2 linked regions of the Coturnix japonica genome follow. The protein of the gene in region 1 interacts with the protein of each later gene in a biochemical or structural test. Links are inferred from orthologs where the notes say so. Each region holds a gene or a part of one and is shown on either strand. Other genes may lie near its edges. The genes, in order: SORT1 and BDNF.

What was found.
Region 2: the proteins of SORT1 (region 1) and BDNF form a complex in vitro, tested with the Homo sapiens proteins (2 studies listed by BioGRID and IntAct, with this or other methods). The link is inferred for Coturnix japonica from reciprocal best matches to the Homo sapiens genes SORT1 and BDNF.

What each region holds. Positions count from the first base shown.
Region 1 is NC_029541.1:1,574,491-1,591,427, forward strand, and holds the start of SORT1 (sortilin), read right to left. Parts: upstream 8,064-16,937; 5' UTR 8,049-8,063; coding exon 7,878-8,048; intron 7,789-7,877; coding exon 7,715-7,788; intron 7,597-7,714; coding exon 7,494-7,596; intron 6,383-7,493; coding exon 6,218-6,382; intron 5,768-6,217; coding exon 5,694-5,767; intron 5,504-5,693; coding exon 5,454-5,503; intron 5,373-5,453; coding exon 5,242-5,372; intron 5,172-5,241; coding exon 5,027-5,171; intron 3,973-5,026; coding exon 3,817-3,972; intron 3,717-3,816; coding exon 3,610-3,716; intron 3,467-3,609; coding exon 3,364-3,466; intron 3,282-3,363; coding exon 3,113-3,281; intron 2,735-3,112; coding exon 2,544-2,734; intron 1,653-2,543; coding exon 1,463-1,652; intron 816-1,462; coding exon 699-815; intron 612-698; coding exon 503-611; intron 420-502; coding exon 313-419; intron 1-312. Other genes in the region: PSMA5 (proteasome subunit alpha type-5), read right to left, coding at 11,769-11,846, 13,820-13,906, 14,978-15,080, 15,727-15,785, 15,882-15,989, 16,479-16,546.
Region 2 is NC_029520.1:3,052,855-3,068,972, reverse strand, and holds the end of BDNF (brain-derived neurotrophic factor), read left to right. Parts: intron 1-6,030; coding exon 6,031-6,792; 3' UTR 6,793-7,543; downstream 7,544-16,118. UniProt on the Homo sapiens protein: Important signaling molecule that activates signaling cascades downstream of NTRK2. During development, promotes the survival and differentiation of selected neuronal populations of the peripheral and central nervous systems.

The sequences.
Region 1 (16,937 bases):
CAGCCATAGGGACCCCAATGCAATGGAAATCATATAGAGACAGAGGAACCCATAGGGACCACAAAGCCATGGGGACCCCCCAAGTCATATAGACCCCTCAAAGCCAGGGGGACCCCTCTGCCATGTAAAGACCCCTTTGGGACCCACAAAGCCCCCCAGTCATAGGAGTCATAAAGCCATGGGGACCCCATGGGGACCACAAGGACTCTCCAACCACAAGGATCCCACAAAGCCATAGGGGGCCCCCAGGCCACTGGGACCCTACAAACCCCTATAGACCCCACAGAGCCAAAGCTCCCAGCTGGGACCCACCTCCCACCACAGACGTATTTCTTGATGAGCAGCACAGCAGCCACAGCACTAACGAGCAGCACGGCCACCACGGCCAGCACGATGGGTGTGGGGCTGGGGGCCACCGCCTGCAGGGACAGCACAGCGTCACCCCATTGGGGTCAGCACACCCCATAGCCACCTTGATGTGGGGTTGTGGGGTGGCACCCACCAGCTGCCCAGGGCTCAGCAGAGTGCTGGTGCATTTCTTCTTCATGTCTGTCTCCTCCCTGCTGGGGCTCTCACCTCCACTGCATTTGTCCCCTGGAATCTTGCGGTACCTGGATTGAAATAGGGTGGGGGGGTTGATGTGCTGTGAGCCCCAGGACCCCCCCGTACCCCATGGAGGTGTAGGATTGGGGCCGTACCCGCTGGTGCGCAGCAGCTCCCGGCGGCCATAGAGGCAGAACTCCAAGTCGTGGCCCTTCAGCTCGGGCTGCTCCACACACACAGACTGGTTCTCAGGGCGGTAATACCCAAAATCACTGCGGGATTTGGGGCAGAGGGTTCAGCACCCCCCCAATGGTGTGACCCCATTGGGGCTGGCAGGATAAAGCAGGGAATGTGGGGGAGTGGGATCAGGTACAGTGATATGATGGCACTGGGATGAGGGGGGAGGGATGTGGTGGCACTGGGGTCATGCACAGGGACAGGGTGGCACTGGGATGGGGTGGGCAGGGAGATGGTGGCACTGGGATGGCAATGGGATCATGCACAGGGAGAGGGGGGCACTGGGATGAGGTGGGAGAGATGTGGTGGCACCAGGGTGACACTGCCATTGCAATGGGATCATGCACAGGGACAGGGTGGCACCAGGATGGCATTGGGATGAGGTGGACAGGGATGAGGTGGGCAGGAATGTGGTGGCATTGGGGTGACACTGCCATTGCACTGGGATCATCCACAGGGACAAGGTGGCACCGGGGTGGCACTGGGATGAGGGAGGCAGGGATGTGGTGGCACTGGGGTGGCATTGGGATCACACACAGGGACAGGGTGGCACTGGGATGAGGTGGGAGGGATGCTGTGGCACTGGGATGGGGTGGGCAGGGATATGTTGGCACTGGGATCACACACAGGGACATGGGGGCACTGGGATGGCTGCGGGGCGATGGGGGCAGCGCTGCGGTACCAGAGGAAGTCGTGCAGGGTGCAGGGGCACACAGAGGGCTGCGCTGTCACGGCGTAGTCGCGGCCGTTCTGGCAGACCGAGGACTTGCGCAGCCGGCGGAACTGCTCCTTGTAGCCCAGGATGCAGCCGTCCGACGGGTCGCGGGGGTCGCTGGAGTGCGCCAGCCAGATGGTGTAATCCTCATCCTCACCTGCAGGCAACGGGATCAGCGGGTCCCTGCTCACCCCCCTCCCATCTCCATCCCCATTTTCCCCCATTTCCATCCCCACTCCTCCCCGTCCCTGTGTCCCTTGTTCCCCTCCATCCATCCCTGGCTTCATCTCTATCCTGCCCCAAACCCATCTCTACTTTCCCCCCATTGATCCCTACCTCCATCCATATTCCCCTCCATTTTCATCCCCACTCGCCCTGATTTCTGTTCCTATTCCCCCATTTCCCCTCCATCCCTATACCTGTCCCTTCTCCCCCCTCTATCTATCCCTATCTCCATCCCTATTTTCCCTGCCCTGCACACTTCCATCCCTATTTTCCCACCCCTGACCTCCATTCCAATTCCCCTTCTATACCTACCTTTATTCCCACCCACATCAACCCCCATTTCCATCTCTATTCCCCCCTCTATCTATCCCTATTCCTCCTCCATCCCCCTCATCTCCATCCCCATTCCCCCTTGTACCAATCCCTACTCCCTCCTTCATCCCCATATCCATCCCCATTCTCCCCTATTCCCATCCCTATATCCATCCCTATTCTCCCCTATTCCCATCCCCATATATCCATCCCTATTCTCCCCTATTCCCATCTCCATCACCATCCCTATTCTCCCCTATTCCCATCCCTATATCCATCCCTATTATCCCCTATTCCCTTCTCTATATCCATCCCTATTCCCCCGCCCCTTCCATTCCCATATCTCCCCCATCCCCACCCCCATTTCACCCCCCATCCCACCCCACACCCATCTCCGTTTCCCCCCCACCCTCACCCCCATCCTTCCCCCTATATCCCCTCCTCATTACCTCCCCTCCCAACAACCTCAGCCCCAAATGTGTCACCATGGGGTGGTTCCCCCCTCACTCACAGCTGCGGCTGAGCAGTTGGCTGAAGTCAATGGTGTAGGACACCCACTTTCGGGATAGGAAGCTGCTGCGGAAGCCCCAAATGCTGACATTCATGGAGCGGGCGCCGGGTTCTGATGCCAACCCAGTGAAGAAGATGGGCTCTTTGGCAAAGGTGTAGCGGTACCAGCACTGCCCCTCGTCTGTGGAGAACCTGCCGAGGGGAGGGGGATGCTCAGGGGATGGAACAGATCCCCCCCCCCACCTCCCTGCAGCAATGGGAGCATGGAGGTGTCTGCTGCCCCTCCACATCCCAACCCCCAGAGCCCCCCTGACCCCACAGCCCACCCCAAATCCCAAGAACCCACCTCCAACCCTCAGAAACCAACCAGAAACCCCCCAAAATCCACCTCAACCTCCAGACCCCCCCAAATCCCCATAGCCACCCTCCAAGCCTTGGCACCAGCCCAACCCCCACACCTCCCAGACTCCCACTCCCCCACTTTCTCCCCATGCCAGGACCCCCAGAACCACCTCCCTATGCTGCCCACCCCCCCTTTCCTCCTTCCAGCCCCTCAGCCCCCCCACGCACTCCAGCACATTGACAGGCTGGCTGCTGTGTGCGATGGCCACGATGAGACCACCCGAGTCCAGTATCGCGTAGTGGTGGGGACCCTCCAGCATCCGTGCCCACGTGTACCCCCCGTCATCCGAGATGTAGACATCAGGGCTCATCACTGAGATGGCCCCCCCGACACTCCCTGGGGGGAAATAAAGCATCAATACAACAAATGAGAGCAGCACTGAGTGTTGGGGATGGGGACGTGGAGACCCCCCCTGTACCGTGGGCGATGACGATGCCGACGGCGTTGGGTTCAGAGAGCGGCACCATGGGCACGTTGAGCTTCTGAGAGATGCTGTAGGACGCGTGGATGTGGAGGCTGCACTGCAAGGACAAGCAGCAAACGCATCAGGGTGGGCTCAGCCCAACACACCCCCAGCCCCACACATCCCCATCCCACCCCAGGAGGGAATGGAGGGTAAGAATGGGGCCACGTGTCCCTGCTTGGGGACACAGGACAGAGCCACCTCCTCCTTGCTGCGCGCCGTCGAGTCGCACGTCGTGTTCTTGGGTTTACGCAGCGGAACCCACTCCCCACCTCGATCAAAGGTGATGACGGACTGGATGGAGTTGTCTGCAGGGAGCAGAGGGGCTCAGCGGGGCTGGCAGCGCGGCCCCATTGAACAGCCCCAGCCCCACATTCACCCCCAAGCCCCCCAGAGCCGAGCTATCACCTTCAGACAGCACGCTGGTGATGTAGATGCCGCGCAGAGAGGTGACGTTGGTGAAGTCGGTCTCCCCCCCGGTTGTGGTGTAGAGGTGACGCTCCAAGGACTTGGAATAAACCACGCCGCGGTCGTCTGATGTGTAGATGGTGCCGTAGCCGGTGTCTGGGGGGCGATGGGGTGGTGGTAATGGGGAGGGGGGTCCCCGTGTACCCACCAGCTCCATGCAGGGAGACGGAAGAAAACCACCCCCAGTGGACACTTGGCCACGCTCCATGCCAGGAATGTGCTTCCCTGCAGCCACTGCCCGTTAATTAACTTCCTCATGAGGGAATTAATGAGAAAAAGTCCTTCCTCAAAGGCACAGCCCTGCCCGGCTCAGGGCGCTGTGCTGCAGAGCAGCTTTCATGGTGCATTGATGTGGTGTGTCAGCTGCACACAGCGCCCACCCCATCCCAAACCCACCTCACCTCATCAACACCATCCCCACCCCATCCTCATCCCCATCCCATCCTCATCCCCACCCCATCCTCATCCCCATTCCTACCCCCATCCCGTCCCTATTTTCATCCCATCCTCACTCCACCTCCATTCCATCTCTGCTCCCATCCTCATCCCATCTCCATCCTATCCCCACTTTATCCTCATCCTCACATCACCCTCATCCTGTCTCCATCCCCATTCTCATCCCATCCAATCTCCACCCTCATTCCATCCTTGTGCCATCCCACACCTTCTGTATCCTTTCTCCATCCCATCCTCATCCCATCCCAATGTTGTCCTTATCCTTATGCCATCCCCATCCCCATCTGCATCCCCATCCCATTTCTCCCCCAATCCTCATCCCACCCCCATGTTCTTATCCTCGTGCCATCCCCATCCTCCCCCATTCCCATCCCCATCCCATCCCCATCCTCACCTCATCCCCATCCTCACACCTTCCCATCCCCATGTTCACCTCATCCTCATGCTATCCCCATCCCATCCCCATCATCACACCTTCCCCATCCCCATCCCAATACCATGTTCAGCTTATCCTCATGCCATCCCCATCCTCACCCCATCCCATCACCATGTTCACCTTATCCTCATGCTATCGCCATCTCCACCCCCATCCTCACCCCGTCCCATCCCATCCCATCCCCATCCCCATCCCCATCCTCACCCCATCCCCATCCTTGTCCCATTCCCATCCCATTCCCCCCCCAGCCCCACTCACCTCCTGGCTCATCCACATGCATGAACACCAGGTCGTCGTTGGCTGCCAGGATGGAGTAGAACTGCTCGTGGCCGACGGAGGGCAGCTGTGCCATGCTCCAGCTCTCCCCTTGGTCCAGCGAGACGTGGATGCGCCGCGTGAAGCCCTGTGGGACCCACAGCCTCAGCCCAGCCCTGTGTATGCTGACGGGGGGGACGCAGGGAGGGGACAGCCACCTTCTCGGTCATGACGGAGGCGAAGAGGAAGCGGCCGCCCAGCCCGAAGGAGTAGATCTTGGTGCCGATCACTTTGAAGGTCTTGCCAAAGTCGGTGGTTTTCTTCAGCTCCAGGAAGCCCAGGTCAGCTTCTTGGGGACAAGGGGACAAGGGGCAGCGGGTTAATGGGGCGCCCCACGCTCCTCATGGGAAAGCAGAGGGGCGGCACTCACTGCAGGAGCCGTTCAGGTAGGAGGTGAAGAAGATGGTGTTGTTTGCACCCCTGGAAGAGAACAGAGAGCAGAGATGGGGGCAGTTGAATGGGGGAGGAGATGGGGGCAATGCTTGGGGGCAGGGATGGGGCAGGGATGGGGGCAGAGATGGGGCAGGGATGGGGGCAGAGATGGGGGCAGAGATGGGGGCAGAGATGGGGCAGCACCACCCCACAGCACAGCCACCAGGTGGGCACTCACCACTTGGCCAAGCAGACAGCCTTGTGGATCAGCTCCCAGTGCTCCCCAAAGTCCTTGGAGACCCAGAGGCCGTTCTGTAAGTGATGAATGCCACTGGTCAACAGCACGTCCCCATCCCCACTATGTCTCCCATCCTCACCCACACACCCCATCCCCACCATGTCCCCATCACCGACCACATCCCCATCCTCACTACATCCCCATCCCCAACCATGTCTCCAATCACCACCACGTCCCCCATCCCCAACCACATCCTCATCCCCACGTCCCCCACCCTCACCCACCTCCCCCTCCCTCACCACATCCCCCATCCCCACCATGACCCCATCCCCAACCATGTCCCCATCCTCACTACATCCCCAACCACATCCTCATCCCCATCACATCCCCAACCATGACCCCATCCCCACAATATCCTCCAACCTCAACCATATCCCCCATCCCCATCACATCCCCTACCCTCACCCACATACCCCATGCCCACCACGTCCCCCTCCCCACCATATCCCCCCCCATGTCCGTACATCAGTGCTGAGCGCCAGCAGACGGTCGGAGTCCTGGGGGTGGTACGAGATCTGTGCCAGGGGGTGGAAGGGCAGCTCCGTCTGCACAAAGTTCTTGGCAAAGTCAGACGAGCGGAAGATGCGGCCGCCGCGACTGCCACCAGATACATCACCCGTCAGGATGACCTGGGGTGGGACACAGCACCGCGCTCAGCACCGCGCCAGGGGAAACTCAGCCAGGGACAGGGGGAGGGTCAGGGGCTGGATTAACAGGTAGGGGACAGGTTAGGGTTAGGGCTTCAGTTATGGGTTTGGGTTAGGGGTAGGGGTCAATGGCAGGGGTTGGGGTCGAGGTTTCAGTTCAGGGTTGGGTTAGGGGTCAGTGGTTGGGGTTGGGGGCTTGGGTCAGGGTTTCAGTTAGGGGTTTGGGTTAGGGATCAATGATTGGGGATGGGGGTTTGAGTTGGGGGTCAGTGGCTGGGGTTGGGGGTTTGGGTTAGAGGTAGGGGTCAATGGTTAGGGTTGGGGGGTTTGGGTTGAGGTTTCAATTGGGGGTTTAGGTTTGGGGTCAATGGCTGGGGTTGGGGTTCAGTTCAGGGTTTGAGTTAGGGGTCAATGGTTGGGGTTGGGGGTTTGAGTTGGGGGTCAGTGGCTGCGGTTAGGGGCTTGGGTTGGGGTTTCAGTTAAGGGTTTGGGTTAGAGGTAGGGGTCAATGATTGGGGCTGGGGGTATGGGTTAGGAGTAGGGGTTAACAGTTGGACTTGGGGGTTTGGGTTAGGGGTCAGTGGTTGGGGTTGGGTTAGAGATAGGGGTCAGTGGTTAGGGTTGGGGGTTTAGGTTGAGGTTTCAGTTGGGGTTTTAGGTTAGGGGTCAATAGTTAGGATTGGGGGCTTGGGTTGGGGTTAATGGTTGGAGTTGGGGGTTTGGGTTAGGGGTCAATGGCTGGGGTTGGGGTTTCAGTTTGAGGTTTGGGTTTGGATTAGGGGTCAATGATTGGGGTTGGGGGTATGGGTTAGGAGTAGGGGCAAACAGTTGGGGTTTGACGTTTGGGTTAGAGATAGGGGTCAGTGGCTGGGGCTTGGGTTGGGGTTTCAGTTAGGGGTTTGGGTTAGAGGTAGGGGTCAATAGTTGGGGTTGGGGGTATGGGTTAGAGATAGGGGTTAACAGTTGGAGTCGGGGGGTTGGGTTAGGGGTCAGTGGTTGGGGGGTTGGGTTGGGGTTTCAGTTAGGGGTTTGGGTTATGGGTAGGGGTCAGTGGCTGGGGTTGGGGGTTTGGGGCAGGGTGTGGGGCTCCCACCTTCCCCGAGTTATCAGGGCTGATGGCCATGCCGAACTCGGTGCGGATGAAGGTGTTGTTGATGAGGTTGGTGATGTCCTTGAAGGTCTTCCCATAGTCCTCACTGTACGGGGACGGCACAGGGCTCAGCTGTCAGCACCACCAGGACCCCCCAGCAGCCCATACTGCCTGCAGGGCCCCACTCCCCACATTAGATTGGGGTCTGGGGGGTGTATCGATACCTGCGGTACAGCTTGGACTGCCCAGAGATCACAATCACCCAGGGCACCTGGAACGTGGTCAGCACCAGGATGACCTGCGGGATCACAGCGTGTTCAGCTCATCACAGGGGGGTCTGCAGCCCCCACAGCCCCTCAATGGGGCGGCACCCCCTGCACATCTTACCCCAGTGCTGTCGCCCACCCAGGACAGGGACACGGAGCCACTGAGGTCATCGAAGACGCACTGAGAGAAAGAGAAGGAGATGGGGAGGAACAGAACAGCCTTCAGTGTGAGCAGGGAATGGGGGTCACGGGCAGGGGGGGACCCCAACCATGGGAGGTGGATACAGGGCATGGGGATGTGGGGATCAAGGGGGTGTGGGGTGGATGTGGGGATGTATATGGGGATATAGGGATGGATATGGGGATATAGGGATGGATATGGGGATGTATATGGGGATATAGGGATGGATATGGGGATACAAGGAATGGATGGTGGGGATTGTATATGGGGACTATAGGGATGTATATGGGGAATTATAGGGGAGTATATGGCGGATATAGGGGACTGTATGATGGATGCGATATAGGGATTGTGTCACATGGGGAATGATGGGATGATATAGGGCGATCAGGATGTAATACTGGGGGATGGATTGTGGGATATAGAAATGTAATATAGGGATGTTATGGGGGATATAGGGATGTAATAGTATGGATGTTATATGGGATGTAATATGGGGATATAGGGATGGATGTGGGGATGTTATATTGGGTGGTATAGGGAAATAGGGAATGGAGCTTCTTGGGAATATACGGGATGTATATGGGAATATAGGGATGGATATAGGGATGTATTATGGGGTTCGACTCTCTTGCACCGCCCCCCCCCGGATATAGGGACTGATATGGGGTATGTATAGGGATGTTATGGGGATGTTATATGGGGATATAGGGATGGATATAGGGATGTATACTGGGGAATATAGGGATGGGATATAGGGATGATATGGGATATCAGGGAATGATAGTGGGGATATAAGGGATGTATATGGGGATGGATATGGGGATATAGGGATGGATATAGGGATGTATATGGGGATATAGGGATGTATATGGGGATATAGGGATGTATATGGGGATATAGGGATGGATATAGGGATGTATATGGGGATATAGGGATGGATATAGGGATGCATATGGGGATGGCTGTGGGGACCGGCAATGGGGCATGGGAGGGATCACGCTAAAGGATGAATAAATGGCACGGCCACCGTCACGCCGTCCGGGGAGCCCGCATCAGCGGTCGGTGGCCTGGCGGCGCGTCCCTTACAAGGTAAAGGGAGAGAACGGGACGGAACGAACTGAGCGGGGACACGGACGGGGGACACCGGGCAGCAACCGGCCCACATCCCGCTCCCGGGTGTCAATTAGCGGCAATTAACGACCGGCCGGGCGGCAAGAGCGGGGCGCGCCCTGCGGGGAGCGCGGGGTGGGGGGGGGTTAGAATGGGGGACCGGCTTGTAACGTGTGTCGTTGTGTCCAACGGTGACACCGACAGCCCGGTCCTGTCTGTCTGTCCGTCTGTCCGGTGTCTGTCGTCTGTCCCCTGTCGTCCTAATCGGTCTGTCGGGTCTGTTATGTTGTTCTGTGCCTGTCTGTCGCTGTCGTTCCTCCCCCTCGCCGGTCGCTTCTGTGTCCGCTTGTCCCGTCCCGTTGTCCCGTGACCGCCGGTGTCCGTCCGTCCCCATCCCGTTCCCCGCGTCGCTCACCTGTTGCGTGTTGTGTTTCCCAGCACGGCCGTGACGTCCCCTCCAATCCCCGCTTATCCGCCGTTTCCTGCCGCCCCCCGCCGGTGCTCGGCCGCACCGACACCAGCCCCAATAGCCGGGCTTCCAGCACCGAACCGCACCAGCCGGCAGCCGCCCCGCGCGGGACCATGGCGACTCCGGCGCCGCCGCCGCCGCGCCCGCATCGCCGGCCTGGCCGCCGGCCCCTCCCCGTCCGCCACAACCCCATTGGTTAACGGGGGGGATATGCCTTCCATCGTCACGCCCCTCTCGCCACGCCCCGCCGCGTGTTGGTTCTAAGGATGTCGCTCAACGCCGGCTAACCGCGTCCGCAGCGGTGGCGTTTCCGATTGGTTCACTTTCTGTGTCCAATCACAGCCATCCTCCTCTCGCTATTGGCTCGCTGTGCTTAGTCCGATGGGGGCGAGCCCGCCCCCCTCATCGACCGGCCATGGGCTCAGATCCACCTAACGACAGCGCGCTGATTGGCGGAGCGGGGGGCGGCAGAGCGGATTTTTTTGATTGGTCGAGGCGACAGGTAGCAGGGCGAGGGGGGGGCACGAGGAGTGGGGTTGGGGCACAGAGTGGTAGTTATGGGGTACAGGGCATGGTTAATGGGGTATAAAGAGCGTGGTTATGGGGTATAGAGGTGTGGTTATGGGGTAAAGAGAGCGTGTTATGGGGTATAGAGTGTGGTTTGGGTACAGGGCATGGTTTATGGGGGTATAGAGTATGGTTATGGGTACAGGGGCATGGTTTAGGGGTATAGAGCGTGGGTTATGGTATAGAGTGTGGTATATGGGTATAGAGTGTGGTTGGGTACAGGGCATGGCTTATGGGGTATAGAGCGTGGTTATAGAGCACAGAGCATGGTACAGAGCATGGTTATGGGGTATAGAGTGGTTATGGGGTATAGAGCGTGGTTATGGGGTATAGAGTGTGGTTATGGGGTATAGAGCGTGGTTATGGGGTATAGAGCGTGGTTATGGGGTACAGGGCATGGTTATGGGGTATAGAGCGCGGTTATGGGGCACAGAGCATGGTACAGAGCATGGTTATGGGGTATAGAGTGTGGTTATGGGGTACAGAGCGTGGTTATGGGGTATAGAGGCGTGGTTTATGGGGTACAGGCATGGTTTATGGGGTATAGAGCATGGTTATGGGGTATAGAGTGTGGTTAAATGGGGTAATAGAAAGTTGGTGGTTTGGGTATAGAGGCGTGGTTATGGGGTATACGAGCATGTTATGGGCACAGAGCATGGTTTTAGGGGTATAGAGCCGTGGGTTATGGGGGTATAGAAGATGTGGTTAGGGTATAGAGTGTGGGTTATGGGTATAGACGTGGTATGGGGTATAGAGTGTGGTTATGGGGTATAGAGCATGGTTATGGGGTACAGAGCATAGTTATGGGGCACAGAGCATGGCTATGGGGTACAGCTGGTTTGGGGGCATAAGTCGTGGGTTTGGGGTACAGACATGGTGGGTTTGGGGCCATAAATGGTGGGTTTGGGGGCATAACCCCAGTATGGGGCACCAGTGGGTCATCAGCTCCCAGTCTGGGGACACAGCGCCCAACTTGGAGCTGGTTTGGGGTCCCAATGGCCAATTTGGGGGCAAAACTCGCAGTTTTAGGGCAGAACTGCAGCTCTGGGGACACACAGAGGCCCTAAAGGAGCCCCCCAAGGGGAAGCTGCCCCATATCTCCATAGGGACAGCCCTTAAACCCCCCCAGCTGCAGTGCCGTGCCCCAGAGCAGGGCACAAAGCACCATTCTATAGCATAGAACAGCTGGAAGAATCAGCTTTTTGTTCTATGGGGACACAAACAGGGCGAGGAGCAGCACAGCAGGGAATGGGGCAACAGCCCGAGCCTGGCACAGGGGTGTGATCCTAAAGGACAAAGTCCAGGGGCACCTGCAGGGCTGGGCACGGCCCATGTATGGCATGGGGCTGCCATGGGGCTGCCATGGGGCTGTATGGAGCCTGTGTCCTCCACGAGAGGGAGACATGGGTTGAGGGAGCCATGGGTTGCAGCCCTGCTGTGCTGTGCTGTCCTCACCTGCTCCATGTTAACCCCCCCCCTTAGCACAGAGCCCAGCACAGAGTAACAAAATGATTTATTATCGCTTCCTCTTTGTCAGGATCCGTTTATGTACAGACTGTAAATAAAAAAAACACCTTTGGGAGCCTTGTGAGATGCTGCTGGAAACCAAGCGGCAGGTAGTGGGAGGAACTGAGTCAGTTCACTTTGATCGGGGCAATGAGCCTTAGGAGCCCGTGTCCCTTTCAGATGTCCTTGATGACCTCCTCCAGCTCCTCCTTTGTGTACATGTGGAACTTCATGCCCGGCTCTATGGTGGCGAGCTGAAAGACAAGGAGCAAAGGGTTAAACGTGCCCATGTATGTCGAGTGCCAGCGTGGAACACAGAGCAGCACAGACACAGCAGCTGTTCCTTCCCTGCTGCCTGATCTGCCAGCACAGCAGGATCAGTGCAGCCCATACCGCGCTCTTTGATTCCCTAAAATAGCAGCTGGCTGCAGAAATAGCTTTGAATTGACTCAGTCTCCTCATAGTAGCAGCAGCAGGGAATGGCTTTGGGGACAGCTCAGGCCTTTCTCCAGCAGGACGATGTAATAAGGGAGCTCCTCGTGCTGCAGCTCCACCTCCAGTAACTGCAGGTTCCTGCTCAATGGGGATGTGCCTTGGAACCTGCTGTACAACAGGACGGGGTGACAGCAGCACAGAGCTGGGCACAGCGCCCTGCACAGGCAGCTGGGACGCATCACTAGGACATGAGGGCTGCACAGCAGCAGCGCTGCCAAAGGAATGCATGCAGGGCTCCCACCAAGCACTGCTGGAGCTCACAGAGATGCACAGATAACCCAGCACTGTGATGGCAGCTGGAGCACCCCGTGTGTGTGCTGCAGGGAGTGATGTGTGCCCTCAGCCAGCACAATGTGAATGACCAGCTTCTATGGGGCTGAGCTATGGGGCACAATGGGACCTCCACTGCAGGTATCCCAAACCACACCAACCACAGCTCCACCAAACCATTCCCTTGCAGCCTTTGCAAGGAATCACTCATATAAAAGCATAACACCGCTTCAGGCTCCATTGCTGCCCATGGGTTCAGCTCTCCATCACCACGTTCCCAATCCCCCTTTGCTGCTAAGTGGGAAAAACCCCCATACAGGAAAGAGGGAATCAAAAGCAAAGCCCTGCACAAAGCTGGAAAGCAAAGCGGTTCTGTGAGTGAATGATCCCCAAGCAGAAGGGCGACTTGAGTCAATGGTGACCTTTTAATCCTCAGCACATTCCTCCCATGCTTAACCCCGATGTGATTCCTCCATAGGTTCAGAGCCCTGCCAAGCACAGTTAAGCCCTGTCAAATGGGGACGTGCCATAAGGATACTGTACATGCAGCTCCTTCGCACTGTACAGCATTGCCTGTAAGGAGCTGTGAGGCTGCTCAGGAATGAGCAATGTGTGCAATGGGAAGCAGAACACAGCCTGGCATCATTGTGTGGGGTGCACGGCTCCTTCCCCCTCCAATGAAGGCAGTTAAAGCTCATCAGCAGAGCCTCCAGCAGCAGTTAATAAGGACAAAGGGGTGCACGCTTGAAGGCTGTTTGGGAAATGGAATCCTGGTGTTTGGAGGACAGCAATGGGAGAACAGCAGGAGCAGAGTCAGAACGACGTGATTCTCAAAGGTCTGGCATCTCCGAGCCTGCCAGAAATAGAAGCAAACTCTATCTGCCAGCCCTGCTCATCATCTGCCCGTTATCACGAAGGAGCTGGAAAGGTTCTGTTGGCTTTTATGTGAACTATCGCTACCTGAGCAGCACATTAGGGCCCAGCGATGGAGGCTGTGGGGACACCACACCTGGCTCACACTGAGCCCTATGAGAGCTGCAGCCTGCAGCAGCACATTCATGCCTGGAGGCTTCACCTCTCCAGCCCTCCTGCCCAAGGGATTTTTGGCCACCATCCCGGCCTGAATATAGCAAGTCCGGGAGCTGTATAATTTTCATTCCTTCTAATATTACGAGTAGCAGGGGAGAAAAAGAATGGCTGAACACAGGGGAAGAAACACTAATCCTGCTGGCACAGCAGCTGGTTCTGCCTGTGTAAGGGCAGGGGGGGCTGTGCTCCCCCCTGACATGCAGCCCATGGCCCTGCAGCTCAGAACTGCTTGCACCAGCACTGCTGGGGCAGCCCAGCACACAGACCAGGCTGCAGGATCCAGAAACCCAAAGCAAGCTCCCAGCACTTCCCAGTCCACACTTCCAAGCCCTAAGACAGTCCCTGGGCACTCTGCTAATAGAGCCCCAATTACCTCAATGTTGGTTGCGTTCAGTTTCTCCTCCATAACTTGCTTCAGGATGACGAGGGAAGACTTGATGGCTTCTTTCAGCGTCATGGACTGTAAAACAAACCACGTGCTCACTGCGCTGCTGTACCCAAAGCCAGCATCCGTTGTGTCAGCCCTTTAACTCCCACAGCACGCTGCTCTCCCTGCTTCTTCCCTTTAATCCCTTAAGCTGCCGCTGGCAGTCAATTCAAAAGCTTATCAAGCGATCTACTGTATCAACAAGAGATCAAAGCGCAGCGTTTGGGAAGGACCATTTCAAGGATGGTGACTTTCTGCTTCTCTATCCCTTCTGCTCAAGCTGAAGAGCTGGGCACACAAACCTTCCTGGCAGGAGCAGGGCATGAAGGTCTGCCCCCCTTCACCAGCTCCTGCCTATCAAGCAGTTCCCCCCCCAACAAGCTGAGCTCCCAGCAGAATCCTTTGTGCTTTAATAACATAAATCCCTGCATGAGGGGAGCCCGAGCCAGGAGGCTGCACAGCATTGGGATGGATGAGAGCTGTGTGTGCACTGAGTGCAATGGGAAGATGGTGAACGAGCCACAGAATGCAGAACTCCGGCAATTCTGCTGCTTAATTAGATTATGGAGGCTTAGGCTGGAAGTCTTCAAGGCAATCAACAGCATCAATTACGCTTTTCATTATAGTGTTTGATTTCCTTTGACACGAAGCAGGCAGCTCCCCTCCCACAGAGAGAAGAAAGTGGTTATTGAATATCAGATAGGATGAGGACTGGCAGAACAAAAGCTGTTAGCTCCACAGCTCCGAGCTGCACACCCAGAACAATGCCACACGCTCTGGTTCCTTATGCTTCAGGCTGCAGCCATCCCCAGCCCCGATGCTGCCTGTCCGTGCCCATGCAGCAGCATTTATTTATAGAGCTTCCTGACATGGACTCAATTATCACCTGCTGCAGGCACAGCCTGGCACGCTGCACGCCAGGCTCGTGTTCCACAGGGCAGCATGAGCAGACACTGCCCACCGAGAGGCTGCAGCTCTCCTCACGCAGAGCTCCTCCACCTCGTATCTCATCACTGGAGCAGCTGCCAAGGCCTGAGCCCAGCCTGGCAGCCTCAGCTCCAGCACACTGCCCTAAGTCAGAAGTCAGCTCAGCGCTGCCGTTACCTTATGGTACACCTCCTGCAGTGAGCTCTGTGCTCCCTCCGAGGCAGATCCGATGGCTCTGGCATCGCACTGCACGAACGTCCCCGAGGGGTCCATGTGAAACCTGCACGGAGCAGAGACAAACCACACCCTGCACCACAGCACCGGGGCTTCTCCCTTACAGACCCACAGCCACAACGCACACCCAGTGCCCCCAGAGCAGTGCACCCCAAAACTGCCCTCCATGCTGATAGAACATTTCTCCCCCTTGCTGTTTTCTTTAATAAAATCAGCAGGTTTTTACCACCGCTCCTGGGAGGGAGACCAAGGGGAGGCTTTTTTGGGCCCACCTCCAGCAGAGGCTGCTGTTTGAAGCAGCAGTTCAGGTTTCAAGCACTCCGCCTCCCCATGGAATGTTACAGACGGCTGCAGATATTATGTTACCGTGGCTCTGTTACTCCTTTAGGGAAAGGTAGGAATAAACTCAGGACGAGGAGAGCTTGAACACCTCCCTCCTGCCCAGGAAACCACATGTAGAAAAGCAAAGGGTTCACTAAAAGCACAGCGTTCCCTTCAATCCTGAACGAGCAGCCTGCCACCAAGCTGCCCTTGTTTGGCAGGGAAGGCTTAAATGCATTACCAAACATGTCAGGTGCATAATGGGATAAACCCTAAGGGTTTGGCTTATGGAAAACCACAGGATCAAGTCATCAAAAAGCCTTTAGAGATGTTTCACTTGGAGGTTCTGTCTCCTCCAGAACAGAACTTACAGCTGAGGTCCCTTCTCATCAACTCCTCCAAAAAGCAGCGCGACACCAAACGGACGAGACTGCAATACAAAGCAGGCAGTAGGTCAGGCAGGGCTGAGGGCAGAGCCAAAGGGACATGGGAGGCTCCTGGGGCAGCCCAGCCCATCGTTACACACCATTGCACCAGGGTCTGCATCCTCCTCCCCGAACTGCAGCGCCAGGTTGGACACAGCCTGCGTCACGCTCTCCACGGTCATGGTTTCATTGTAAGTGAACCAGTGATTCTGCAGGAAAACGAGGCTTCAGGTTATTGCTCTGCTCCCCAGAGATGACGGTGCTGGACTGTTCACATGCTGCTCTGCAGCAACGCCCCACTGAGAGCTTTGTCCCAGCCCCTCCTTATAGACAACACATAGAGAGAGTGAGGTGCTCAGCCGCAGGATGGAAGCACTAAAGGCAGCCAGAGTGAGCTGAGAAGTAGAGGAAGGGTCCCCCAGAACAGCTGGGCACATCTGGGCCTTGGGGGTGCCAAGGAGGAAGGCAAAGGCAGAGCACTCTGTCCTCACACTCGTGGTACCCACTGAAGAGATGGGACAAGGCATAGAATCCCCACCATGGAAAAGGGAGCCGTATAGAAGGCTGCATCTATCTGCTGTGCAGGAAGCTGCACACAGCCCTCCCACCCCCATCAGCTCCTCTGCTCTAACCATCATCCCACACCAGAGACGCCCCCCAGCACTAACACTGCTGTATTGAGACATGTCAGGTCCTACCTGAGTCTCCACTCTTGCTTTATCAATCAAAGTCTTGGCATCAGCTATTAAGCCACTCATGGCACACCCTGAAAACAGAGAGAGAAACCACGAGTCATTTCATCAGCGATCTGCAACCTGCTCTCCCATAGACTTCCCACCGCCCACAGTGCACACAGCAGGGCCCTGTGTGGGAGCAGCCAGCAGCACGTTGCAGAGCATGGGGTGGAATAGGTGTGGGTACAGAGCAAGGCAGTGCTTCCCATCAACGCCCATGCAGGGCTGGACACGCAGCCAAAGGGCAGATGCACCACCAGGGTGACTTCCCACCCACCCTAGATGTGAATCAGTTCAGGGAGACACAACTGAGGCTCTTCCAAGAGAAGCCGTGGGATGGGGAATGCATCCCTCCTGCTGTGGGCTTCAGGAGCTGCTCCCTGCTCTAAGGGCTGCACCACTAGCATACAGCAAGGGGAAAGC
Region 2 (16,118 bases), on another chromosome or scaffold:
TACAAAGGATCCAACTTATGCTAGTTTGCCTGCAACGTGCTCCATTCTGTTCCTGTTCTCAAATGCCAATTATCCTCGGCTTCAGTGGGAGCTTCATGCATGTACTTGGCAGAATAGCATTGTCCTGTGGTGATTCAGCACAGTGCTGCATACTGAAGAGTAAAATGAAAGGCAAACCACATGTGTTGCACCAAGGTCTGAGACTCTGCCCTACTGTTCTTTAATGCACAGGTTGGGTTAGCATTATATGAAACTCTAGTGGCAATTGGAGTGAATGATTTTGGAGAACTGTAATTATTTGCTTTCGTGGAGGATCTAGATAGTATCTCAACAAGTTGTTATAATTTCATTGAATGGTTTTGTGGTTGGCTTCTTGTTTTGTGTGGTTTTAGGGTTGTTTTTGTTATATGATAACTTCTAGGTGAGCTTAAAGTTCACAGAAGTCATGTAATATTACTTTTGAATGAACTTAGGAATTGCATGAATCTTATCACAGCAAATTCTCTAAACCAGCTCGATTTCAGGCTTGGAAAGTGGTGTGGATTCTCAACCTGGAATGTGCTGCTGCCATGGTTTGAGACTTGGAAGTCTTGTTCCTTCTGTCTGGCATTTCTGGTATGGCAATAGGAGTATGGATGGCATATTACCCTACCCATGCTACTCTTGGTGAGTGTAAATCTGCTGGAAGCTGGTATTTGAAGAGGGCTTCCCTTGTGTAGCTTGATGTGGCAAACACATGGTCCCCTTATGGAGCTGGGTTTGTTTACAGTGATGATTGCAAACCCCTGTGCAGTTGGGGTGCCCCTTGTGTGGGATGCTGTACAAACAGCTGGAAAAGCAGGGTGTGTGCCATGGGCTCTACCAGCAACTCCCATTGTGAATGTATAAAAATAGTGCACATCTGTTCTCTTCTATGGGTGTTGTCTCTCTGAAAGCTCTGATACCATCTGTGAGCCTGGTCTGCTATTCCTTTGCCTGTGCATACTGCCAAAACTTATTGTGCCTGTTTCCTGGTATGGGCAGCTTGGGTCCAAGATCTGGCTGACAGAAATCCTGCTGGGAACTCCTTCAGACCTGCACTTTGCCAAGTAAACTGCAGGCACACTTGTAATGAAGAGCCTGGCCAGTCTGCTCATGTAAGAGCAGCTGAATTCCTCGTGAGAGTTTTGAAGCAAGTGTGCCCTTTGTATTGCTGTTTGACCACCCAGAAAGGCATGAGGAATGTTTGTAGGAAACTGGTGTGTAACTCCATGAAAGATCAAGAGTGTAATGTTGTGGCATTAATATCCCCTATTATTATCTTTGGGTTCTTTCCCACCTCTGGACGATGGGACAAGTTGTGTTGGGTTGGTTTTGGTTTGTGAAGGGGGGTTTGGGGGGGGAAACAACACGTGTTCAGGTTCTTCCTGACATGAAGAAGCAACTTAAAGAGTACAAATTGGGCAAGGGTGTCTATGTATGTATACATGGGGGTGTGTAGGGGGGGTGGTGCTTTATTTTCAGTAATAAAAATTAATTATACAGATGGTGTGAATAGCTGTGAGGATAACCGTAGTGCGTCAGACAGGCAGTTATGCATGTATTAAAGGTGAAGGCTGTTTGTTCTCAGCACATTAAGTCTTTGTAAAGCGTGTGCCGACATGCATCCCATTTTGGTATCTGTTCACACACTCCAGTAATGATGTGTAGAGTAGGAACTCGTGCCTTTGCCATTCAGTAGCATTTAGGAAACTGAACTTCTGCATAAAGGTCTTAGAAAATGGCAAGAGAAAAGAATTATCATCTTGCTGCTAATTTTACATTCCACTGTATGCTTCTTTTCTGGAGATGAAAGGATTCGGAATCTGCTCACTACTGAATGTTATTTCAACTTTCATGGCACATGTCAGGATGCAGAAAAGCAAGTTTATGTTCACAGTTTTCTTCAGGTTTTTCTGCTGGGAACAGAACCTGTTAAGCAATTAGATTTCTGCTTAAAATAAGGAAAAATAATGGAATGAAACAATTAGCTGGTGAATTCTCATTAAATGCTAAATACCAAGTAAACAGTGCAGATAAGTAATTGACTGCATATGTAAACTAGCTGTAGGTAATTGACATGACCTTCATTTAACAAGGCTCCTTCCCATTAGTGAAGACTGCTGCCACAATTATGTGCCTTTATTCTAGCTGTAATTGTATGGACTTTATTGAAGTACAAACTAGGTCATGTCTTCCTGAGATCTGGTCTGTGGTGGGTGACCTGTTTTCTTTGCTTCAGTTTCGTCATGCTGCATTAGAGGGGGAAGGATGCTCTGGCAGCCATGGAAATGGATAGCATTTAGGAAGCTGGTCTCAAGCATCTTTTTTGACAGACATCCTGTGTGACCCGAGGAAGCTGTCTAAGGCTGAGTCTCAAGGCAGCTAGCATTCATCTGTTTAAATAAATGCTTAGCTGGAGCATGCTGGGAAAATGGCAAAGTACAGATTTGTCTGGTGTTCCAACCCCTTTCCACTTCCATGCAGGTGATGTGGTGCCTGCCTCGTGATTGGCGGGGTGTACGTAATCTGTCAGTGTTTGGAGTTGGTAAGGCACCTATTGCAACCAGCCAGCCAGTGTCTTTAATCCTAGCAATGTAAAATTAAGCTTTGATAGTTGGGGAGTAGAGGAGAAATGACTGGAAGATGCTGTCCAGTTTGTTTCCAGTGCTGTGCTAGGATATTAGTCCTGCTCACTATGTGAGAGCTGAAATCATGCACACCCATGAGTCTGTTCGTGAGTAGCTCAAAGGCTGTTTCTATCCACAAAATGGGATTGTCTTAATCTGCTTACGGTATCTTAAACTACTAGATTCCAAGCAACTTCTATGAGAAGTTACAGCCTTTACAATGGAGGTGTTTCCTAGAAGTTTTATTATTTTACTCAACATGATTTCATTGGGAAACCTGAGGACCATGTATATTGCTCTAGTCGTTGTGAAGGTAGAGGAGAAGATTCTCATGTCCTGCTTGTCCTGTTCAGCTTCGTCTGCAGTTCTTATACAAAGATATATCTCTGTGTTTGCTTGCTAATGATATTCCACGTGTCTGCACTGCTAAACCATACTTTGACATACTTTTCTATTGATGTAAGTAGGAGGGAAAGGGGTGGCTTTTAAGATGGTCACATTTTCTTGTGAATAATCTGTCAAAGTTGTTGGTTTTCAGAGGCTAGTTGTACTTTTTTGTAGTACCTACCATAGTGACAGTCAGATATCGTCAGATGGGATGTAAATTGATCAAGCTTGACAGCAGTTTCGCTCCTAAATGGAGGGCAAAACCAATTAAGGAAGGATTAATTTCATGTTAGAGATAAAATGCTGCTAGATCCGGTGACCAGACAGCAATTGGAGGATGCTGAGCCTCCTGGTGGAGCTTCTCTGCACCTCCCTGCTTTTCATCTCTTGTCTTCCTTTTAAGTTTTTCTCTCAAATGAAGTTCTGTTGTTTTAGTCATTTTGGATCCTATCAAGTTCATGACTATCATAAATAAACAGCTCAGTGATAATGGGGAAGGATGTGTCCTGTTCCAGGAATTGCTGTATCCTTGGCTTAACTTAGCAAATACTTAGCCTCCAACAGGCAAACATAACTGATGGATGCAAGCTCCTGTTTGTTTTGTGCTTGCCTTGGTCCCTCCTGTGTTGTGTCCTGCCGCTGTCATGTTGGAGGGCCCTCTGGGTCCTGTGTATGTGCTCAGACACATTCTGTCCTCTGGAGTCCAGATATTGGCTGGGACTTTTGGGCACTACTCTAATAAAAATAACGACGACTTGATTAGGAGCCACCTGATCTGTGTTATGTTCAGTGCTCTGGTGGTCAGAGGTTGCAATACGGCTTGTGGTTTTTTTTAAAATTTTCCTTTTATATGAAAGAATTCTGAGAATTCTCAGAAGAGGGAATGTATGATTCTCGTTCCCACTGGCTCTGTCCTTTTATGCTAGCTAAACCACTCCATCTCCCCCTGTCAAGCCTCTCCACTTTTGACCAAGGAAGACTGATAGCCTTTTTCATTGTGTGGTAAATCATCTCTAGTGTCTGTTTCTTCCCTTTGAGGAAGAAATCTGATATTGCTCCCTGTAAAATGTGTTTTTAAAATCCCAGGATGAAAAATATGCAAAATATTAATGTTCTGCATGGTTAGAGCAAACACTGTGTTCCTGTGAGTCACAGATGTCAGGTTTGTTTAATCCTAATAAATCTATGCCACAGTAACACTTCCAAACAGGAAAAGAGGTGGAGGCAAGAAAGTGAAGTTGTGCTGGGAAGGAGGTGATTGTTAGCCAGAATTTGGTTTAGTAGGGGAGGGTTTGGGCACAAAAAGTATGTTGGTTTTCTTTTATTCCCTCCACCCCCCAACACTTCATTAAGTAGACTTTGAGACCCACGTGTCAGGCACTGCCTTTCTAGTACATATTTCATGTTCTTTGTGTGTTTTGTGATGGATTGTCTTTCCATGGTGGAGTCTGAAGAGTACAAGTTTCCCATAGCGTATTTGCAGGAGATGAAATAAGGCTTTTTACATAGCACCCTGCTGGCAAGCAGAAATAGCATTTACTCCAGTGAGTGCTGCCAAGTATGAGGTACTTCCGAGCGAACTTCAAAAGCTACGAAACAAGCATTAGCTGCTGCTTCAAAAATGTGAACAATGCTGTTGCTTTCTAGCAAGCAGAACTGGTGAGAGTGCAGATGGGAAGGAGGGAAATATAACCACTGGACATGATAGATGTTGTAGTTGCACTCAGGATCAGACTAGGTATAGCTCTGTGTCACAGCAGGATTTGAGGGACTCTCGTGATGGTATCGTAAGTACATACTCTGTTCTTCAGGAGGAAATGATTTATACCCTGAGAAACATATGGAGGCTTAGCAAAAAACATGGCTGCAGTTGTGCAAGCCCAAACTGCTTGGAGTGCTGGTAGGAATGAGTTTCACTAATTCCAAAGCTGGTGAGGAGTTTTCTTACTGATGCTGTTAGCTGGTGCTGTCCCTCTATGCTCAATGAAGAAAGAGCCAAGCCAATTGATAAGCTTCAAGGCATTGCCTGTAATGCAATCCAGAACTGGAGGCAGAATGTGAGAGAAACAAGGCAAGCTGCTCTTCGTTTGTATATGGCAACATGGTGTGGCCTGGCCTTGTTGTGGGTCTTCATGTGAAGCCCTTGGCTAGAATATACGCTTTGCCTGCTTGAGAATGGCTGATGTGGGGCTCTGAGGAAACACAGCACAGTGGTCCTGGTACTGTCATTTCAGTTTAGTGCTTTATCAGTGCTGTAATCCGGTATGTCCTTCCCATGGCATTCAAGTGATGCGAGCAATCTTTCCAGTTCCAGTTTAGTAGGGTTACAAGCACATAGTCCTGCATCATTTTCTTGTTCTATATTTATGTGTACATACCTTCTACTTTTAGTTGAAGGATTGACCTGGTGAGACCTCAGAGGTGTATGGCCTCTTCCTCTGTTTTGAGGATTGCTTTTAAAGTACAAATGCAGTTCATCCCGGTGCTGTTTTGTTTCTTGTGGATTTAACTATTTTTGGCATTGAGAGATCTTTAAAATAAAAGATTAAATAAATAAATAAACAAAGTATTTACCTTTCCACTTGAAAGAGGGGTCTTACCTTCCACACTTCTGAAGCTACCTTTTAGTGCTGAAGTGCTATGTTGCTAAATAGCTGTTCTGCTCTTGTTATTACTTGAATATAGGTGTAATCATTCAGTAAATAAGGAGTTAGTGTTGTATCTGATCTAAAACTTATCACAGCAAGGCATTGGCACATACGAACTGACTCACCATTATCCATGTTGCCCAAGTTTTGGCTTATGATTTATCTGGATATCTAAATTAAAGGAACACCTTTGTACCAGAGTATGCTTCTCCACTGATAATGAGTTGCAGCTGCACGCATGAAGTATATCTCTGCAGGAAAAGCATAATGTCTCATGACAGTTTAGGTGAATTTTGATGACTTTGTTTCTCTTAAGCTAATTTTCATCTTCTTTTTGTCCTCAACAGTTCCACCAAGTTAGAAGAGTGATGACCATCCTTTTCCTTACTATGGTTATCTCATACTTCAGTTGCATGAAAGCTGCCCCGATGAAAGAAGCTGGTGTAAGAGGACAAGGCAGCTTGGCTTACCCAGGTCTTCGGACCCACGGGACTCTTGAAAGCCTAAATGGGCCCAATGCTGGTTCAAGAGGACTGACGTCGCTGGCGGACACTTTCGAACACGTGATAGAGGAGCTTTTAGATGAGGATCAGGACATCCAGCCCAGTGAGGAAAACAAGGATGCGGACTTGTACACATCCCGAGTCATGCTGAGCAGTCAAGTGCCTTTGGAACCCCCGCTGCTCTTTCTGCTTGAGGAGTACAAAAACTACCTGGATGCTGCAAACATGTCCATGAGAGTCCGGCGTCACTCTGACCCAGCTCGCCGTGGGGAACTGAGCGTCTGTGACAGCACGAGCGAGTGGGTAACAGCAGCGGAGAAAAAGACTGCAGTGGACATGTCTGGCGCAACCGTCACAGTGCTTGAAAAAGTCCCAGTACCTAAAGGCCAACTGAAGCAATACTTCTATGAGACCAAATGCAACCCCAAGGGGTACACAAAGGAAGGCTGCAGGGGCATAGACAAGAGGCATTGGAACTCGCAGTGCCGAACTACCCAGTCTTACGTGAGAGCTCTCACCATGGATAACAAAAAGAGAGTTGGCTGGCGCTTTATAAGAATAGACACTTCCTGTGTATGTACATTAACCATTAAAAGGGGAAGATAGTGGGCTCGCGTTGTATAGATTATATTGAGACAAAGTTATCTATTTGTATATATACATAACAGGGTAAATTATTCGGTAAAAAATAATTTTATGGACTGCATGTATAACTGAAGTTTATACAGTACAGTGATTCCACGATCTATTTATTGAACATATCCATGACCTGAAAGGGAACAAAAGTCAAAGTCATTTGCGCACAAATTAAAAACAAAACAACAACAACAAAAAAAAACCAAAAAAAAAGAAAAAAAGAAAAAAAAAAAGCAAACAAACTTAAAAAGTCTGCATTACATTCCTCGATAACGTTGTGGTTTGTCGCCGTTGCCAAGAATTGAAAACAGAAAAAAGATCTTTAAAAATAATAATTTAAAAAAAAAAAGAAAATTGCATGCTGCTTCAATTGTGAATCGATGATAAACTGTCCTCTTTCAGAGAAATAAATCGAACCAAAACATTCCGTTTACATTTTAGACAGTAAGTATCTTTATTCCTGTTGGTATTATATCTGTTTACCGCTTTTACCTTCTGATAGCGTTGGAATTAAAACAATGTCAAGGTGCTGTTGTCATAGTTTTACTGTTTCTCTTATTTTTGAACTCCCATCAGATTTGGAAGGAAAAAAAAAAAAAAGAACAAAAAAAAAACCCACATAACCTTATTCTGGATTAAAGACAGATTTGGGTTTTGTTTCTTTTGTATGTTGTGAAGGTGTTTGCAATAGCAATCTGACTACTACTGATAAAAAAAAAAATAAAGAGGCAACTGAAAAAGAATGGTGATGTTCCACTTCACATTGTTGAACTTCAGGCTTAAGGACAGCACTTAGTTAACTGTCTGTCAACATGCTTTGCTGGGTTATTTTTGATTAAGTCGTTGTCTTTTGAGACTTGCCTTTCTTTATACCATATTTGTTTGTGTTTGGGGTCCCCTCCCATTTCCTCTCTCAAAGAAAGTTGACTGTGAGCTTTAGAGTATTTCACTCAGCATACAACTGGAGCTTGTCATGTAGAAAGTACTTTATGGAGTGTTGAGAGCGATAACAGTGTAATAAGTCTGCGCTTGGATCCAGTGTCTTAGCCAAGCGCAGCAGTGGTGTCCATAGAACAGGCTCTCAAACCCTCCCAGTGAATCAGAGGGCGGTCACGGCACTGGAGAGCTTGGTCATCTCAGTAGTGAGGAATGGTTTTGGTTTGACTGAGCCTGTCCAGATTGCATTTGTCTCTGAACCTGGTCCTGTGCATCTCCTCATGGAGGGAAGGCTGTGCCTTGCACATTGGTGTACATAGTGTGGCCTTGTGCTCCAGAGCATGTATGCTGGCCCCAGAGTGCTGTGATAGCCAGGGATGGAGGCAGTCAACACTTATGTACATGTCTACTTCTGCTGTCAGCCTTTGTGAAACAAGAGTTGGCATTGAAAGTAAGCAAGGAGCAAGGGCTGGATTTGATTGGCTTAACATCTGCTTAGGTTCTGACACTTTGTAGGTCTTGTGCTACCGCTTCAGTGATCCAGACAGAAGTAGTTCCAAAAAGGCAGGTTGTAAGCTTCAGAGCCAGGCATAGCACTTTATCTCGATACAGTGGGTGGAGACGCAGAAATAGCTCGTTAGTGAGCTCACTAAAGATAGATGCTGCATTTGTAAATCCTCTGGACAAAGTAGCTTGAGCAAAGAGGGAAATGCTTTAAGACATAAGTATTGTAAAGTCTGCGTTACTTGGTTTGTCTGCGGAGATTAATTAAAAACTGGACTGGGCGAAGCTAATTTGAAATATCAGCCCCCTTAATGATCTCATGTGAAGAATATATTTAACGCAGAATTGATATTACTCCTAGTAGAAACCCTGTCTGTTGGCTTCTGTGGGCTGGCATAGACACAAAGTGGTTTCTTCGTAGGCTAAAAGGGCTTTCTTTTGCCAGGCTGTCAAAGTAGAGTTATCCTCACTGTAAAAAGAACTTTGTATTTTGTCTTGACTGCATGCTTGCTGGGCTGTGAACAAGAAGAGAGCACTATGTGACCTACTTGAGCTTCAGACTTGAGGCATTCCCACCTAAAAATCAGCATTAAGAAAATCCTTATGTAGACTGGACGCTTGTGGGGAGGGAGAGACCCATTTTTCTGTAGCCAGGATGTTTATGCATATTCCAATCCATGGCATTTAGTAACCTGAACATCGCTTGGGTGCTGTTGTTCTCGGCAGTGTTTCTGAACGGCTGCAGAGGGACAGTGTGGTGGTAGCCTAACTCACAAGCATGCTTTGGTGAATGTAAGGAGTGACAGATCATCAAAGCTAACCATGGGTTCACCTTCAATTCAGTCATTCTCACCTGGAATAGGTCCCAGCGGTGCTTGTTGCAGGGTAGAAATGGTTTGATGGTAGGGCTGAGTGCTGCTGTTAGCTCCCTAGGTGAGTAATTGAAATGAATAGGGCTTCTCATAGAGTAGCTTTGTATTTAAAGTAACTCAAAAATGTAACCCCCGTGTTGATACAAAATGGAGAAAAAACACTTTGTATTATCTTTAGGAGCAGGGACTGCAACTTTTGGTACGTACACAAACAGATGGCTTTTGCTCTTCAGTGGCTTTTCTGGCAAAGCCACCTGATGGAGTGTCTCCTCCCATCCTTTCTGCTTGTGTGCCGTTGGCTGCTGAGCTTTCCCCACTGAGTACACCCAAAGGAGCAGCCCTTGTGTGTGGGGAGAACTAAGGAACAGCAGCGAGAATGTAGGGAGGAACCTTGCTCCCTGCAATCTGTGTGTCAGCTGATGCTTTTGACACGGGTATAACGTGAAATTGGTAGTTCAAGTGCAGTCCTATGGCTCTCGTTTGCTTGACCCAATGCAGACATGATCGCAGGCTCAGTTCAGTTAACAGAGTTGGGGGCGGGGGCTTGGTTTTCTGTCATGTCACTTAATTGAAATCTTGCTGTGGTCTGTTTGTGACAAAGGTATATCATGCATGTCAGCAGGCCTAGTGCTGTGTTAAGTAAAGACTCTTGCAAATGTAAGTTCATGTCTGTGGCCTTGTTCTCTACTATTCACCTTGTGTAACATAAATATTTATTGTATATTTATATAATTTTATGTTTTTTGGAAAAAAGAAAACACTGAAATTGGCATTAAAATTTAAAAGCAACTGCGTCATATTGTAAATATAATTAAGCTATATTTAAGTGTACTGATTAATATAATATATGTTTAACTATAGAGTTTTTTATGTTTTTAAATATATTTTCAATATATATATATATAAAAAAAAAACTTGGGGTTTTTTGGGGGACCATGTGACTCTTTTCTCTAACTGTAAAACAAACTCGAGTTTTACTATAAAGATGTGTGTTCTTTGTTCTAAAACAATTTTTACTTTATTTTAGCAATAAAATCTCCCTTGGAGGGCAGATAGCCACCTGTTTCGTAGCTGGACAGTTAGCATCGGGAGGGGAGTGCTGGCAAGAATTTGCTTTCCATAAAACATGAGGATGCTCACAACGGATATATTTCCATCTCTTTCTAGCCCATAGGTCCTCGTGAGACTAAAAACCCACAAATGACAAATAGGAATGGTTTTATTCAGCTGCAAAAATAATGGCTATAATGGAAGCGTGTTGGGGAGTCACTACTGTGAATAATAAACAGGTACGTGAGGCCCAAGTTCCACAGCTATAGGCCGGTCTCATGCTTGCTTTTTAAGTGGTGTCATGTATATTTATATCCACAGCACTGAGGTTAGTTATGACCCCCACACAGTACCAAGAGTGGAATTCCTCAGATTTAACATACTGTTAGCGTTTCTAAAAGAATATGCTCTGCTAGAGCTGCCAAACCCTTGTATATTCAATTATCCCATAAGCCTAGAAAAATCAATAAATCTTTGTGATGAATAGAAAACTTCAATATTACTTGAAGGAGAAAGGAAAACCAAAGCAACTTCTCTTCAGAAATTTCCCAAGAGATTGGTGCCAGTACCATCACCGCAAGAACCTAGGAAGCAGTGCTTCTGCAGATGATCATTTATATTAAACACACATGCACATGGGCTCCCTGCCTTATTGTTATCCTAGCATAAGCCAACAGAAGCCGTAATAGATAGGCAAACTGCTGCTGACTGGAATGATGGGGCCTTGTCTGGTGTCACCATCCCTGGAGGTATTCCAGAACCATGGGGATGTGGCACTGTGAGTTGTGTCAGTGGGCATGGTGGGGTGGACTGTGGTTGGGCAAGGGGATTTGAGCAGTCTTTTCCAAACTTTGTGATTCTGTGATTCTATGCCAATGATGCGTCATGCTTGTGCCTCACTGCGGGCCTTCCATGGTGCCAGCCTTTGCCCAAGACAGAAGCGGAGATGGGGGAATACACTGAGTTGTCTTGTTTTATGTATATATGGCACAGGTAACTAAAGAACAGATGGGCACCCCAAAACCTTTATTTGTACCCAGCAGCAGGTGGGAAGGAAAAGGGTAATTCCATAGCTGTTATCACTTGGAGCAAATCTCAAGGCACATAGTCAGGCTTTTAAATTACCCAGCCGGAGAAGAGTGGCAAACAGTGAAAGGTTTTTGAACAGAGTAGCAAGGCAATATTCAGGTGCAGTGAGAAGGTGAGGAATTGTGTATCAGTTCATCCCAGGTGGATCCGGTCCACTGCTTCCACAGGGCACCTCCCTTAATTAAGGTGTCATTGAGAAGATACCTTCTGTCAGGGCAATTAAAACAAGAAAGGGAAGGAATGCACTTACTTGAATTAAACAGGAGCAGCACTGAGGTCTCACCTGAAGTTGGGGGGGTTCTGATGCGGGTTGGGGAAGATTAAGAAACTTATCTATTTAATTTTAAGCAGTTGCTACCACATAGGGTAGCTAAAGACTGTGGGATTGATATAAATCAATGGGCTTGAACTGAAATGTTTTGGGGTTGATTGGTGGGGCTTTTTTTATTATTTTTATTGGTGATAGGTTGGGCTGGATGATCTTAGATGTCTTTTCGAACCTTGGTGATTCTGTGATAGTCTGAACAGCCTCTAAGAGCTGAGGGTGCTTGCTGCACCAAATATTCCTTTAACTGGCTTCTACACTGAATATTTTAAACTATAATGATAAGGTTCCCAATTAGATTTTTTTTTATTCTGACCTTTAACTAAAGGCCACTCTGCTGGGAAACTCATTTTTGCTCTAACCCCAGCATGTTCCTTAATAGAATCCTCACTATATTTGGACTCCGGCCTTGGGAATCTGTTATTTAAAAACAATGAGAAGTCAATATGGCCGTGTTTGTGTAACAAAAATAGTGCTGCCACCTTAGCCTTTCTGATTTAGGAAACAGCCCTGTGAGGCTATGCTGCTTTCAGCTCTGCATTCTGTCTTCAGTGGATACACACATGTTTCATGTACAAACTGGTATAGCCCTGACAAAACTACCTCCTACTTTCTTTCTCAGGGCAGCGAGGCAAACACCCAAAAGGGACTATGGGAAGAAAAGTATTTCTTCTAAATGCTTATTGCCAGCAGCTTCCCAAGGACCTGGTAGCCTTACTCTGTGTGGAGACCCTGGTGGCAGCCAGCTCGTGCAGCGGGGGTCACAGGCAAATGGGCACAGGAAACACGGGCATAAAGCACCAGGTTGTTGCCCATGGTTAGAGGTGGCAGGATGGCTGTGGTGTACACCTCCTCCACATTAAAGCAGATTCCAGGCATAGCTCTGCATGTCCTTACAGCTTATAATGGTTGCCTGCATGGTGATTCTAGGAAATAATGAGGGTAGAGTAGTGCAAGCAACTGCTATAGAAGCTAATCAGCCCCGCCTGCCTCTGGAAAAATAATACAGTGCATGGGCTGACAACCTGAAGCCTTGCCTGAACTTTCAAGGCAGGAAGTTGGTACAAGAAGATGCTAAGATAAACAGTTTCTGGGGCAAGAAACAATTTAGAGGTCTGCAAGCCATTGCCACATCACAAAGTCACTTTGAGGACCGCAGCCTTCTCAGTTGCGTGCTTCCTAACGCAGTCAATATCTGCGGTTTCTAAGAACTGGTGCAACACCCCAAACAAAGGACGTGTCAGGCATTACACATGGCTATAACTGCAGAACATTCTGCTGAAGTATAATTTACAGTTGGGTGAAAGGCTGCCAGCGTGGCCACCTACACACCAATGTGTCGGAGCACTTCAGAACAAAGCTGCAAGCCCGGATATCTCTGAATCTTTCCCAGAGTTTATACTCTGCTCTCTTTTAGAGTCATAGAACTATTAAGGTTGGAAAAGGCCACTAAGATCTTCTAGTCCAACTGTCAGCCCACCACCTCCATGCCCACTAACTTGGTCATTTGATGTCACATTAATTCAATAATTTAAATACAAGATTTTTTTTGTCAGCTGCAGAGTCTATCTTTGCCCCTGCAAAGGGCCAGGTATGCAGAACTGAGGGGCTTGAGGGCTTGATAAAGCAGTAGGGAATGGACCTAGCAGCTGCTATTCCACACTGTGTTGGTTTGGGCTTGATTAGGCCAGAGAATTTCTGGCTGTTGGCTGCTGCCAGAGCGCAGGGCAAGAGAAGTGCTCTGGGCTCTTTAGAAAGGTGGCTGACCGCACTGCCACCAGGGCACGGGCTGCTCCACTGCCTGCGTGGCTGCAGCTGAGACACAGAGCCTGGCCTGGCCCAGGGGCTGCTGCCACCCCAGGGCACCAGCAAGGCCCTTCGCCAGCTCTTTGCAGGGCTTCATGTGGCCCTGGTGCCTCCTGGGTCAGCCTTTGCACTCCCACACGGAGCGAGTTCAGCTTTCTGGTAAATTAAAGCCAGCCCAACGGTCTGGTTTGGATTTACATGAATGTACTTGAAATGCAGTTCGCCTCATGGATCCCACAGGGATAAGAAACCCACAGTGCCTCGGTTTTGCCGCAGACTTGATGTGCAGCCTGGGGCACATTTGAGCTCCCCGGCTCCGCTTTCCCATTCATTTTGTCTGGTTTTTGTTCTGTTCGCTGGTCGCTCCTATGGCGGCTGAGGTGGGTGGCACATAATGCCATAAAACGTTTTGAAGCTCTGCAGATCTCAGCATGTCACCCAAGGCGGAGCTCTGTTCCTTCCACAGACGCACATTAACAAATATTTGTTCCTTGATATTAAAATATCTACGTTATAAATACACTGTGGTATAAATGGAACCATACGTTAAGGAACCGAACAAAAAAATGACAAGCTGGGTGAGTCACCGGCTCGGGCACATGCTGTATTGGTTGTCAATGCAAATGTTGGCTTTGTAGGATGATTTTATTTATCCAAATACACGCACCATGCCCAAACTGGAAATACTCCCACCCACAGGGCATTTAAAAAGGATGCTCAGAATAACTCCCCTCCTGCAAAACTAGAACTCTGTCTAAGAGTGGAGGATCGAGTGCACTCGAGGATTGAAATGAAGGAAAATGTGGGTGCCAGACGTCAGTTCTGGCCGCACAGAGCAACACTGCATCATTTCCCCGTGAGGCCCCTCTACCTCATCTTTTCTTGCACAGGGCTGGGCACATGATGTGAATATGATCTTGCATGCTGTTGCGTAGGGCTCCTGGTCAGCCAGGGACCAGCACATTCTGCCTGTTTTTTGCTGCAGATACTGGGGCCCGATGTAGGAAGGCATGCAGGAGGCAGTTTAGAGCGGGTCAATGGGAGTCCAGCACAGGCCCTTGGTCAGATGGTCAGACCTTGTGGCTGTGAGTTTGACATGGGGATTTAGACAGGAACAGCCCTCACTCGGGCTTGTTCATGCTTGTGCAGTGCCTGGAATGGAGGCGCTGTGGTGAGAAGCAGATGTCTCCCTGCACAGCTGTTACAACATCCCCTGGGTGCTGTGTGCAAGCTGCCCATCCCCACCCTCACCCCCATGTTGGGTGCCATCCCCAGTGCGCTGTTGTGCAATGGTGTTTGCATCATGCCAGTTCTGAAAGCCTGAGCTATCTATAGAAACTGGAGTGGGGAAAGAAAGAAAAGAAAGAAAGGAAAGAAAGGAAAGAAAGGAAGGGAAAGAAAAGAAAGAAATAAAAAAAAAAAAAAAGAAAGAAAAATCTGTCTGCTGATATAAGAGAATTGACATTTCTGGTTCTTTGAGTGCTTGGCAACGCGCATCACTCAGAAACCCAGAGGTGGAATTCCCAATGTGCTGATCACCTTCTGGCTGCTTTCTTCTAACCTGGCTGTGGGGCTGCCTTGTAGGTTCACCCAGATGTACCCATGCCAAGCACTGTACCACGAGGAATATGCCTGCATCCCCTCCCGTTTTCCCCCAGCCAGCCTGACCCACCTTCAGACCCCAGCTGCTCAGCAGCCAGAGACATCAGGGTAGCAGAGTGGCACCAGGAACATTGTTCCCATAAGGCACAAGCACGTGTTGCTTTCATGAGTGCTCTGACCAGATACGGAGAGCCTTGACACATGCACACATGGGATCAATATAGCAATCAATTAAAATCAATGGTGGAGGCATTGTACTGAAGGTATTATTTATGATACATCTAGCCATAAAGTGAAAAACCAAGCCTATGGGGTTTAGGTGGTGTATGCTGTAATTGATGGCTCAATTACAGCATACCTGATGCACGACACTGATCTGTTCCATTTTCCTGGTAAGGTCTGTCTCAGTTTCTCATTGATCACCTGCAAATTAATGTCCTGCACAAGCACCATGGAACATGGCAGGGCATTGCTTCAGCACTAACAGTGCTTTCAGGAAAATGGAGAAAAGAAGTGCTTGTTTGTTTTTCCTAATGGATCAGATGGCCTTTTTAAGAGATTATTCCTCTCTGCTTCTCTTATTTAGCTGTGTGGTCGTCTGGGATTCACAGCAGTTTCTCATTTTTTTCACTTCCAGCATTTGAGTAGGGTTGCTGGCCCTTTCTAGTCACTGCCGTAAGGCATTGAGCAAGGAAGGAGGAAAGCCCTGCTTCCATCTTGGCAGCTGTTTGCATATTGCCTAGGTTACTGCTGACTGGAAAGGGAAGAGCTGACAGCTGCGGCATCCCAGGTCTTTCCCAGCCGAGTGATGGGCTGTGAAATACACAAAAGGCAGAGGAAAGCATCAATAAAATGAAACATCTTCGCTGTTCGAGCAGCTGACCCTCCACACTCCTGAATTACTTGTTCCCAGGACACCACTGAGGGGTACTTGGGCACTGTACAGTTGGTTGGGTGGAGCATTAAGAGATTTGTTCAAGTCTCACTATGAAGCAATGGCAGAATTGGCCATGTCTAATTTCTTTTCCAGACTGACCTATCATCTTTAAGTTCAAATAAGAAGATTCTCACATCCCACTTTCCTGTGTTGCAATGAGGAAATATGGTGCCTG